Arabidopsis thaliana: one gene and its partner. The protein of the gene in region 2 interacts with the protein of the main gene of each other region in a pairwise test. Each region holds a gene or a part of one and is shown on either strand. Other genes may lie near its edges.

Evidence for each region. The genes of interacting proteins can lie anywhere in the genome.
Region 1: the proteins of AT2G43420 (region 2) and AT2G24170 interact in a protein complementation assay, tested with the Arabidopsis thaliana proteins (one large-scale study listed by BioGRID).

What each region holds. Positions count from the first base shown.
Region 1 is NC_003071.7:10,273,583-10,279,089, reverse strand, and holds AT2G24170 (Endomembrane protein 70 protein family), read left to right. Parts: upstream 1-1,823; 5' UTR 1,824-1,901; intron 1,902-1,968; 5' UTR 1,969-2,195; coding exon 2,196-2,303; intron 2,304-2,647; coding exon 2,648-2,812; intron 2,813-2,908; coding exon 2,909-3,018; intron 3,019-3,102; coding exon 3,103-3,211; intron 3,212-3,284; coding exon 3,285-3,397; intron 3,398-3,474; coding exon 3,475-4,783; 3' UTR 4,784-4,991; downstream 4,992-5,507.
Region 2 is NC_003071.7:18,030,670-18,036,893, forward strand, and holds AT2G43420 (3-beta hydroxysteroid dehydrogenase/isomerase family protein), read right to left. Parts: upstream 4,514-6,224; 5' UTR 4,268-4,513; coding exon 4,021-4,267; intron 3,871-4,020; coding exon 3,781-3,870; intron 3,704-3,780; coding exon 3,570-3,703; intron 3,484-3,569; coding exon 3,313-3,483; intron 3,171-3,312; coding exon 3,054-3,170; intron 2,959-3,053; coding exon 2,879-2,958; intron 2,474-2,878; coding exon 2,281-2,473; intron 2,193-2,280; coding exon 2,090-2,192; intron 1,722-2,089; coding exon 1,547-1,721; intron 1,392-1,546; coding exon 1,235-1,391; intron 1,155-1,234; coding exon 1,088-1,154; intron 976-1,087; coding exon 824-975; 3' UTR 599-823; downstream 1-598. Other genes in the region: FPA (RNA binding protein), read right to left, coding at 51-320; GLX2-1 (glyoxalase 2-1), read right to left, coding at 4,900-5,046, 5,133-5,231, 5,304-5,378, 5,697-5,797, 6,042-6,165.

The sequences.
Region 1 (5,507 bases), 7.8 Mb from region 2:
TCGAAACTTTTGATTTTAAGTCAAAACAGAGCATTTGTAAACTACACACTTGTAATGGTAAGTTATTTGTGAATACACATCCATGATTAGATGTTTTATTTTTGTTTGATTGATTCGCAAGTAGTGACTAGTTTTGTATTTTGTTACTGATATGATTCGTTTGACTCCGAGTATTTTAGATCTAATAATCTGGAATATCAGAAAGTCATTAAGTTGAAAAATGCTAAATCTAAACGACAACAAGCTAACAATGAACCAAAAGGACCTAAAAAACTGGAAAGAAAACTAAGAGATGAAATAGGAGCACCTAAGCCACATAGAAAAAAGGTGAATGAACCAGAAACATTTAAAACCCAAAGAAAAAAGGGTGATGAAGCAGAAGCATATAAAACAGAAAGAAAAAAAAAGTTTGATGAAATTGAAGAAAAAAAGTCTGTCTTCATGTTCGTTGCACTCGTCGTGAACCCCGAACCTCAAATGATTTAAAGATTAAAAAAGTATTAGACTGCTTTCGATAATTCCTTCTTAGTTCTATGAAACACTATAATCTATTTAGACTACCTCAGCGTATCAATATTTTTTTCTTGTATAGAATATCCAATCACGACCAATCGAATTTCATCAATCTATAAGAATGCCATTCTCATGCAATTTTTCTCTTATAGCCAACATGCTCATGCAATTTTGATTATTTACTTAAATAAATAAATAAATAGAAGTTTATATAAGTGTCAATAATAAGCTTAACCTTGAGATTCTTTGAGAAACGTTGCATTTATAGAAGAATTTGTCAGTAATTCTAGTAAGATACGAGCAATCAATTGGTATTTTTGATTGTTACTTCTCTCATCTCACAAGTTTGAATGGTTACGGCAGTTAAGATGGATAAATCCGTCAATGGTTTAATCCGAACTATTTTTAAAGTAGACAACAAACCGTCGCAACCAACTCTATTTATATGTAAAAACGGTATGTGGTTGATCCGCATCAGTTTTCTTTTTTAAATCCACACAGAAGTAATTTGTGAAATGGTAAATAAAACGTGGTCAAATACACAAACGAATTTGTCCACCTTAACCACAACAATCATTTAGACCCTAAAATTGATAATAAATGGACAAGTGAACATAGAAAATATGGCAATTTATGTTATTTTAGACAATCGAAGCGATTATTTAGGCGTTACCTGAGAGTCTAGTGCCTAGATAGAGTGTAAACGACCGCCTAGACCATTTTTTATAATACTGAACTTTTGTAATCATTTATTTCGGAGGTGGTGCACACGACAATGCCTACATTACTCGTGAAAACTATATTATACCTCAGAATACCAAAGTCCATGTTCCCGATCCCAATATCATCAAAGAGTTGGCCCATATCAAATGCTATGTTAATTTTTCTTATCTTTTCAAATTATTCTAATGTTGTGTTGCCAACGACTGCTTTTACTTTATAATAGAATAGAAATAATAGAAGTTAGTTTCCGCGATTACTATTATATGCTTACATTTATACCGGACTAGTTATCTCCAGAAGAAAACCGTCCGTTTTCAATTTGAAAACAGTCTGTAAAAGAAAGACTTACATTTATCTAATGCGGATTTGTATTGTGTGTGTGTGTGCTTTTTTCTTACATGTATTTATTGGTAATGTACATTTAATTATATGTCAAGGTGGTTGCTGGTGTGTGTAAGGTTTCATAATCTGCTAGAATAGTTAAGAGGTCACCTTCATTTACCAAATGGATTTTGTCTTCTAATTGATTTAAATCCATTTTTTTCTTTTATTCTTTGAATACTTTTTCATAATTATTTCGTATCCTCCACACTAACTCATTTCTACTTTGCTACATTTACAAGTTTCATCTAATCTACTTAAATTAACAAAAAAAAAAAAAAATTGTTTCCTTATTTAAAAATTAGATTTCTCGTAAATTGGACTTTGATTTTAATTATTGTCTATTCAAAGTTTTATTTTTTTACCTTAAAAAGTGTTGACTTTGATATTTCATTACCTTAAGAAGAAGAATCACCGACAGCTCCAACTTAGGAAATCTCAACCGTTGATTAAATCAAACGAGATACTAAAATATCCAACGGCCATAAATCGTCCAATTGCCATGTTTCTTCCCACTCTCTTCTCCTTCATTTAAGAAATTTCACTCTCCGAAGAAGAAGACGAAATCGAGCAAATCCATGGCGAAAGTTCGGATTTTGATCTTCACCCTTGTCTTATTCTTCTCCCTCAATGTCCATATCCATGGATTTTACCTTCCCGGCGTCGCTCCACAAGATTTCCAAATGGTCAGCCACATAAAATCATCTCTGTATCTGTATTTCACAAATGCAGCTTCTTCTTAGAGCTTTGATTCACACTGGGTCTAGATTTTTTTCTGATTTAGATCCAACGCAATCGATCAAGTAATCTTGTTAAAATTGGATCTATGGCTCTGTTTTATGAGATTTGGGTAATTTTGATCTTCAGTTACCACTGAGTGTTGTGTTTAAAGAGAATGTTTCATTAGTCTATATGTATTAGCCATTGTTTAGACTTGTTTCTGTGTGAATCTAGCTTTTGGAGTAGAAGAATGTATAATGGTCATTATCTATAAAGGTTCAAACTTTGGAGTTATGGTTTTGTTTTTCAGGGAGATGCATTGATGGTGAAAGTTAATAAATTGACATCTACAAAGACTCAGCTTCCATATTCCTATTATTCTCTTCCTTATTGTCGTCCAGAACATATTGTTGATAGTGCTGAGAATCTCGGTGAAGTTCTTCGTGGTGATCGAATTGAGAACTCTCCTTTTGTGGTATGTTCTTGTTTCTTCTTGGTTCTTTCTCTATCTGTCTTGGTTAAGTGGTAGTTGTTGAGTTGTTTTTAATGTCTGTTTGTTTCTTTGTTGCAGTTTAAAATGAGGGAATCGCAGATGTGTGCTGCGGTTTGTCGTGTGAAGCTTGATAAGAAAACCGCAAAGGCGTTTAAGGAGAAGATTGCTGATGAATATCGAGTTAACATGTGAGGAGATTGATTTTGTCGCCTTCGACTGAATGTGTTTTGTTTTTCTTCTGTTTTTATGAGGAAGATTGATTTCTTATGCAGGATTTTGGACAACCTTCCCCTAGTTGTTCCGGTGCAAAGGCCAGATCAGGACAATGTTGTAGTGTATCAGCATGGTTTCCATGTTGGTCTCAAGGGAATCTTTGCTGGCGTAAGAGCTCATCATCACCTTTTCTGAATATGTTTCAATGGAAAGAGTTCTTATTTATTTGATTTTCTTGTAGAAAAAGGAGGAGAAGTATTTTATCCACAACCACTTGACCTTCACTGTTAGGTATCACAGAGATATACAGACCGATTCTTCAAGAATCGTTGGCTTTGAAGTCAAGCCGTTCAGGTAGCTTTTTGTGATTTAAGGACTTTGACTCTGTATTGTGTAAGCGACTAACATCTACTGATTTTATCTCGATGCAGTGTCAAACATGAATATGAAGGTCAATGGAATGAAAAGGCTCGGTTAACGACTTGTGATCCGCATACAAAGCGTGCAGTCACTAACTCTGAGTCTCCTCAGGAGGTTGAAGAAGGGAACGAGATTATCTTCACATATGATGTTGACTTCCAGGAAAGTGAGGTGAAATGGGCGTCTAGGTGGGACACTTACCTTCTAATGGCTGATGATCAGATTCATTGGTTCTCAATCGTTAATTCTATGATGATTGTTCTTTTCCTCTCTGGTATGGTCGCTATGATCATGCTAAGAACACTCTACCGAGATATTTCCAACTACAATCAGTTAGAGAGTCATGAAGAGGCCCTCGAAGAGACGGGTTGGAAATTGGTACACGGAGATGTTTTCAGACCGCCAACAAACCCGGAGTTGCTTTGTGTTTATGCAGGCACTGGAGTTCAATGCTTTGGAATGATTCTTGTCACCATGATCTTTGCTTGTCTTGGCTTTTTATCTCCTTCAAACCGTGGTGGTCTTATGACGGCTATGCTTTTGCTTTGGGTTTTCATGGGACTATTGGCAGGATACGCGTCTTCACGCCTCTACAAGACGTTAAGAGGAACCGAATGGAAAAGAAACGCTCTGAAAACCGCATTCATGTTTCCCGCTACCGTCTTTGTCGCCTTCTTTGTCCTTAATGCGATAATCTGGGGACAAAAATCATCCGGTGCAGTCCCATTTGGTACAATGTTTGCTTTGGTTGTCCTCTGGTTTGGTATCTCTGTTCCACTTGTTTTCATCGGTGGCTACATTGGTTTCAGAAAACCTGCACCGGAAGATCCAGTGAAAACCAACAAGATCCCGCGGCAGATCCCAACACAGGCCTGGTACATGAACCCAATCTTCTCCATTTTGATTGGAGGCATTCTCCCATTTGGCGCAGTCTTCATCGAGCTCTTCTTCATACTCACCTCAATATGGCTACATCAGTTCTACTACATATTCGGCTTCCTCTTCATCGTCTTCATCATTTTGATCATCACTTGCGCAGAGATCACGGTCGTCCTCTGTTATTTTCAGCTGTGTAGTGAAGACTATCAATGGTGGTGGAGATCTTACTTAACATCAGGCTCTTCCGCGGTTTACCTCTTTCTTTACGCAGTCTTTTACTTCTACACCAAACTTGAGATCACAAAGCTCGTCTCTGCAGTGCTCTACTTTGGGTACATGCTCATAGTTTCATACGTATTCTTCGTCTTTACTGGTGCAATTGGTTTCTACGCATGCTTTTGGTTCACCAGGCTTATCTACTCTTCGGTTAAAATCGATTGATCTTTAATCACCTTCTTAGTAAGCTGTATCTTAAATCTTGTTCTTTTTCGTTCTTTTGTTTCCTCCTTTTAAATTTTGTGATGATTTTGAGATATGTAGACATAAACTTTTATTTTATTGTAAACATACATAGAGCTCAAGAGTACAACAATTGTCTCATAATAACAGCAACTTGTCACACACTTTTATCAGCAATCTCAGTTTTTATTTCTTCCATTCTTAGTAGATTAGAAACTAAGTTTGTTACTACTGCAAGGTCATACAGTTTACATTTTTTTAATAACTGTTTCTAATCGACAATTTTTTTTTGGAATTCATGAAACTGCGTACCTCATGTTTTTAGGAACATAGTTTTCAGAATATTAAAAATGAAATAAAAAATAATGAACTCGATCGACAAGGTCAAGTCAAGATAGTATGTGGTAGATAAACAAAAACAAAAAGAAACGTATGTGGTGGATAATTTAGAATTGAATGAGTCAATCAGTAGTCTATATGGACCAGTGGCACAAATCACTGAGCAGAGATGCATGAAGAATTAGGAGGATAAGAAGTCCGACGAGTTCACACGATAGATTGTTCTCGAAGTCAAGAACTAAACTCCAGAAGTGTTTTTATTTTCCTTTTTTCTTATTAAAGGCATACTCAGAAGCCATAGTCATAACCTATTACTTACCACACACTGCACACACATACACACAGAAAGTAATTATGAGTCCACAAC
Region 2 (6,224 bases):
AAAAGACAATCAAAGTTAGAGAACAAACGAAGATATAGATAAGAACAAACCGGTCGTGCGTATTCGATCTTAATTTGACTTCCATTCAAATTTGCTCCTTGAAGAGCCTCTTTGGCTGCGACTGCTTCCTCCACATGTCTGTAGTATATAAACGCAAAGCCTCGTGAAGAATACACCGTGATTCTATCAATATCGCCGTATCTTCCAAACAACTCGGTCAGATCTGACTCTGTCGTCTCCGGCGTTAGGCTACCGACCCAAAGATTGTTTGACTGGAAACCGGAATCATCGGCTCTGAATGGCTTCATAGATAACGCCATCGGGATTGTTTCAATTGACGATCCTATGGATCCAAAATTCCAATCCCAGAATTGATTGTTTTACCTTTGGGATTATGAGATTTCGATTATCCACGTGACGGAAAACGAGAGACGAATTGTGCGATGATACGTTGAGCAAGAAAAATTCGATGAGAGATTTGGGTGTTCAAAATCCTACCTACAGAGAGGAGAAGAGAACCCTAGATTGAGTTTGAAGACGAAGAAGATTAGATTGTGAGAGAAAGAGAGGCCAGGGAATATCGAAGCGGCGGCTTTTAAAGGATATATAAGGATACTTTCCTTTTTTTTCTTTTTTTTTTGGAAACCGGATCAAAACGGTGCATTTTGATAGTAGTTATGGCAAATTCGTAAATAATCATATATCCATCCCCTCTCAGTGAAGATTACATCCTGATAGCATAATGTTTGTACATAAGACATCTAATAACTGCAATTAGTCTCTGGGATTGTTGGTGTTCGTTTAGTGGAGGACTTTGGAAGCTTCACATGAACATTGGTTTAGATGAAGCATCAGAAACAGGTATCACCATCCTTTTAATAAATGTTAAGCATTCGACGAATATCCGGGCTAGGTGGTAGAGCTCAAGCTCGTATTGCTCGTAGATGAAGAAACCGGTGAATGAGAACGACATAACTGTCCAAGCAAAGCGTAGAGAAAATGTTATGGATAAAGAAGTTGTTAATCATGTTTATGAAGTTGTTAATCATGTTTATGAAGTGTGAAAACAAAAGCTTTGTTCGAGTACCTGTGAAAAGAAATGCTGCCAATGAACGGGATACAATCAGTTTGAGGAGATACAGTGATCCTGCAATCTGTTTTTATGTTTTGTTTTAGGAAACGAGAGCAATGAGATATTTTTCATGTTTGGTGAGCATAAAGAGTAGAATTGTACCTTGAAGAACTTGATCCAGTCTCCTCCACTGCTTAAGGATTTAAAACTGCGAACTCCTTGATTCCAGACAACTACGATATCACTACTAAGATCTCTCACAGCGGATTCGGAGATCTCAAATCTCCATGGGGGTATTTTGTTGACTTGAAACCCGAAACTGTCAAAATAAATCAATCTGTCACTTAGTTGCATATAGATTTCAAAGGTGAAATATATATACATGGGTGCATCATCCTTTGATAGGACAATTTTGGTATCACAACTTATTTTCACTGCCTTCTATAATGGTAAAGTTCTGGAACCAATACTTACATCTTTGACGGCACAAAAGAGACTCCATAGAGAGCAACAGCAAATATAAACAGAAGTTGGGCTGCAGATGAAGTAAATGTGTTTCCAGAAAAGAAGAACCAGTAATAAAACAAGTTTAGGACAAGAAAAGAAACGAAGGTTTTCTTCTCATTTCTCCACAGCAAGATGTCTGCAACTGCATGAGAACATAGAGATGAAAAGCTAAGTCAGTTTAAAGAGATTAATATTAAAAGCTTGCATTGACCAGATTCGCTTTGAGTTTGTTTATATGTGCATGAAATAAAGTTGGAACTCGCATGAAATTACATGGACTGGAAGAAGATGTAAATTAACCAAGCAGATACTTCAGCATGTTCTAGACATCTAGAAGCAAACAAATCTAAGTTGAAAATAGAGATAGATTCTTTCCAGGTTAAGCCTTGTGAACATGCATCATCATATCCATAGCTAGATGAGATGCGGACTTCAAGCAATACAACTGAATACTTAGCCAAGAACACTTCAAAAAGGCATTATAATTGTTAATAGCGAGATGGTTCTAACCTTTCCCACAACCAAGAAGCTGATCTGCAGTAGATTGAATGATTGTGTCATCAGACTTCTCAAGATCCCGAGAGAACCATTGAAGCGTTGATGCAATACCATCCTACAAATCCAACAAGAGCTAATAAATCCAAGGAAGGTACTAAGCAGCTGAATATGCAAAAAGCCAAAATACTATCCAACAAACTCACTTCAAGTGTCACAACAGGTGTGTAACCAAGATGCTTCTTAGCTGCATTGCAGTTAAAAGTTCTCGTTGATGAAGCTAACAGAGCATACTGATGTGCTGTGTCATAATTACTCCCAAGGCCCTCCTTTTCATGTGTCCACTTAAGAAGTGAGAAAACATACAAAACCAGCCGAACAGGAAGTTTAATGGATGGTCTGCAATTAAAGAGGAAAAAAAAATATCAAAACAGGTAAACCAGAAAGTTAGCTCTAAGGATCTAAAACTTTTCAAAATGATCAATATTTAAGACATAGGAGAAGGAAACATATACGACCATGTATAAAATACTAAATATCAGCGAATCACCATGTATAGATAGTTTATATCTAAAAAAACTAATTGAATATGGCTGTTCTCGAAACGGTTCTTCTAGACATGTCTCCAGGACATCTATCAACAGAAAATTAAGATCTTTTGCTTTAAGAAGGGAACATTCAAGGTAGGTTCAGAAGTTCTGAGGAGCCTTTTTCCCATGCTACATTGATAATCAGGAAACAGAAAGATAAAAGGAGTTCACAGCAAGTTTCATTGTATCAAAAACTGTTCGGATGCTTATTTACCTTGGGTATCCCAGACCTTCAACTATATGGCTTACAAAGTCCCAAAATCTGACCGGCTTGAGGTTTGTGATAAAAAATTCCTACATAAAGTCGGCACAGTAAAAATTCATCACATATAAAGTTCATGCGCTTTCAGGAGTGATTTGGCAAATACACTTTGACTCAAAGAGGTTACCTTTCCAGCCACAAACTCCATCTGTGAATCTAATGCTTTAACGGCGCAAATATGTGCATGAGAAACGTTCTCCGAGTAAGTGAAATCAGAGATATTTTCACCACTCCCGAGTATAAACTGAAATTTTAAAAACTAAGACAGTCATTCCTCCAAAAAAGGAAAACTAAGAATGCATCAAGCTCAAGGAATACTACCAGGTATAATAAGATAATAAACGTAGACGCAAAAACGCAACAATGGGATGAACTAATAGTAAGACCTTTGCATATCCGGACTTGGCTAGATTCACCAAAAAAGGTACAAACTCTGTGTCACCAGGTCCAAATACAATGCTAGAGCGAAGTGCACAAGTTAAGAGACCATCTCGGTTGTTAGCCAATTTGATCAACGCTTCTGCTTGAGCTTTGAAGTCTGTCAACATAGATTGGAACTGCAAGAGAATCAGAGCAAAACAGATATCATCTCTGAAAAAGACCAACGACAAAAACCAACTAAACAAACATGCTCAAGGATTACCTTCAAAGGACGTCTCAAGGATTCATCACCATCACGTATAGGTTGGGAACCATCAAAAACAACATCAGCTGTACTGTTGTAGATAAGTTTTCTGACTCCAGATTCACGACAGGCAGAAATCACATTTCTTGTACCTATACGAGAAATCGATTAACCACCCAAGTTTAACTAATATAATGGTAAACCATCTTGAAGTGACTAAGAACTTTACCTTGAACTATAACCTTGTAGCAGTCAAAGTAATCATGGGAACGTAAATCAGTAGCTCCCATGTAAAATACAACATAGGAACCCTCGGTAACTGCAAGGAACAAAACAGTCACACCAAAACTCAAATCAGAACCCGAAAATCTCAAATAGCCAAACACTCCCCCATAGCATTTTCTAGATACCAAAAACCGATCCATCAATGTCATATCTAACAAAGTGCAACAGGAAATAAGAGGAAAACCTTTAACGATCTGAGGTTTATCACGAACATCGACGCAGTGATAAGAAGCGCGGCCGGAGGAGAGAGCATCCTCGAGGAGCGAATCGGATTCATCAAGATGGAGAGTGTGACCGGAATCTGCGACTCGGACTGTCCAGTTTCCGAGACGAAGCAATCTGGAGACAAGCGATCGACCAATGAACCCTCGTCCGCCGAGGACGACACATGTCTTGAGGTGAGAATCGCCATGGACGGAATCTTCGTCCATTGTTATCGCCGAATTAAACCCCAGCTCTATCGCCTTTTCTCGGTCGAGTCAACTCAGAGAAAAAGGCCGAGTCGAGTTGGATCAGTGCACAAAAAGCTGAATACTAGGGGTTGCTTGGCGGGCAGACTCTCCACTCGCGCAACCTTTTAGCGTTTTCCTTTATTCTTCGGCTGTGTAATTATAATTTAATATTCACACTTTTTTGCCATAAATCTATGGATTTGACTTAATTTATGTAAATTATCTGTATAATTATTCCTTGGTTACAAACAAATCTAGTAAAGCTAATATTAAATCGTAGACGCACGGTTGCGTTTTCACGTTTGGTGAGCCAATTCCATCAATCCACCAAACATATGATTTCCATTGTTAGAAATTTGGTAAGCACTTGTAGAGAGAAACTAAACCGTATCTATCTATACACTTGTGTATGTATGTTGAAGCATTCATTACACTTGAAAATCTCATAATTTAATAATTGAGTTTAAACTAAATATTTAGATTTTTTTGTGTTGAATACACAACTTCAAATGATAACTGAAGAAAGCCCAAAACATATAAAATATTGATCTTTGCAGCTGATGATTGACTTGCAAATTTTTCTATACAAATAAGAAAATATACCCAAGTTTTCAGAAACGATCTCTGGCTCTCTGTATACGACGCAATGCTTCAGCTTCGGTTGCTGAGTCTGGAATGCTTAAAGATTTTCGGATATCTTTGCTCGATATTCTGAGGAATGGGTTACACGCTTTCTCAACCTTGACAGTCGTTGGAATCTACAGACAACAAATCCGTAAGTAAATGAAATCTAGAGAGAGGTTTAGAGAGAAAGAGGAGATAGGGAAGAGATAAGAGGTTTTACCGATGGGAGCCCCTGGCTGCGAAGATGGGCGACTCGAGTTGCATAGGACTGAAGAGTTTCATTCTTTGGTTCTACGGATAGAGCAAACTTGAGATTGCCCTGTATCATGGAGGAGATATAAAAGAGAGTTGAACAATGTGAATTAAGAGTATTTATGTGCGTGGAACTTACTGCTGTGTTTTCACGGCCGCAGTATATATTTGTATCGTCTGGTAGAGACACGATCTTTTGGAGTGATGAAAGCATCTGAGTCATAAGGCAAAAAAGGTTTTCTCGTTAAAAAGGACAGAGCACAATAAGTTTGCTTCTGTGAAAGAAACTACAATGTACGGTTATTAGAGTACTCCCAAGTCCCAAGTGATCTCTCCATAAAGTCTATACCATTTGACTCAGCACAGTTTGCCACAAGAAAGTAACCATAACAGTAAAAAGATATGAAGGTTGAAAAAGAAACATGATTTAGAAAACCACAAATCACTTGGCACAATTTTTGCCACAAGAAAATAATCATAACAGTGCAAGGGTCGAGAAGGTTGAAATATTGCTTTTTGAAATTGATGTTACCTGCTCAGGGGTACCTTCTGAAAGGGTACCACAGGATAAGCTATATATCAGGTCTCCTGTGAATATTGTCGCTGACCCGGGAAAGTAGAAGCTAATATGGCCTGCTTGAGAATAAGTACAGTTAAGTGATAAAACATGGCACCAAGTATACATTAATTACTAGTTGTACTACACTAGAACGATAAAAAAGGAGAGCAGTTACACAGTAATGTATTGAGGATAACAAATTAGAATGACAAATAAGATACTAATATGTGATCCACCAAAGGTTTCTAACGTTGGCAATATTTGACTGTATAGATGTGTTCTTAGTATTTTACAGTAGAGGTTATGGCAGCTACAAACCTTGTGTATGGCCAGGAGTGTCAAGTATCCGAACCTCATGGCCAGCAAACATCCACTTATCACTATCCTTCAGAAGTATGTCAATTCCAGGAATCCGATCTTTATCTACAGCTGATCCAATCACCTGTCGGCAACATAAGTCACATAAAAACACTTGAGTATATATAAAAGAAGCAAAAACGA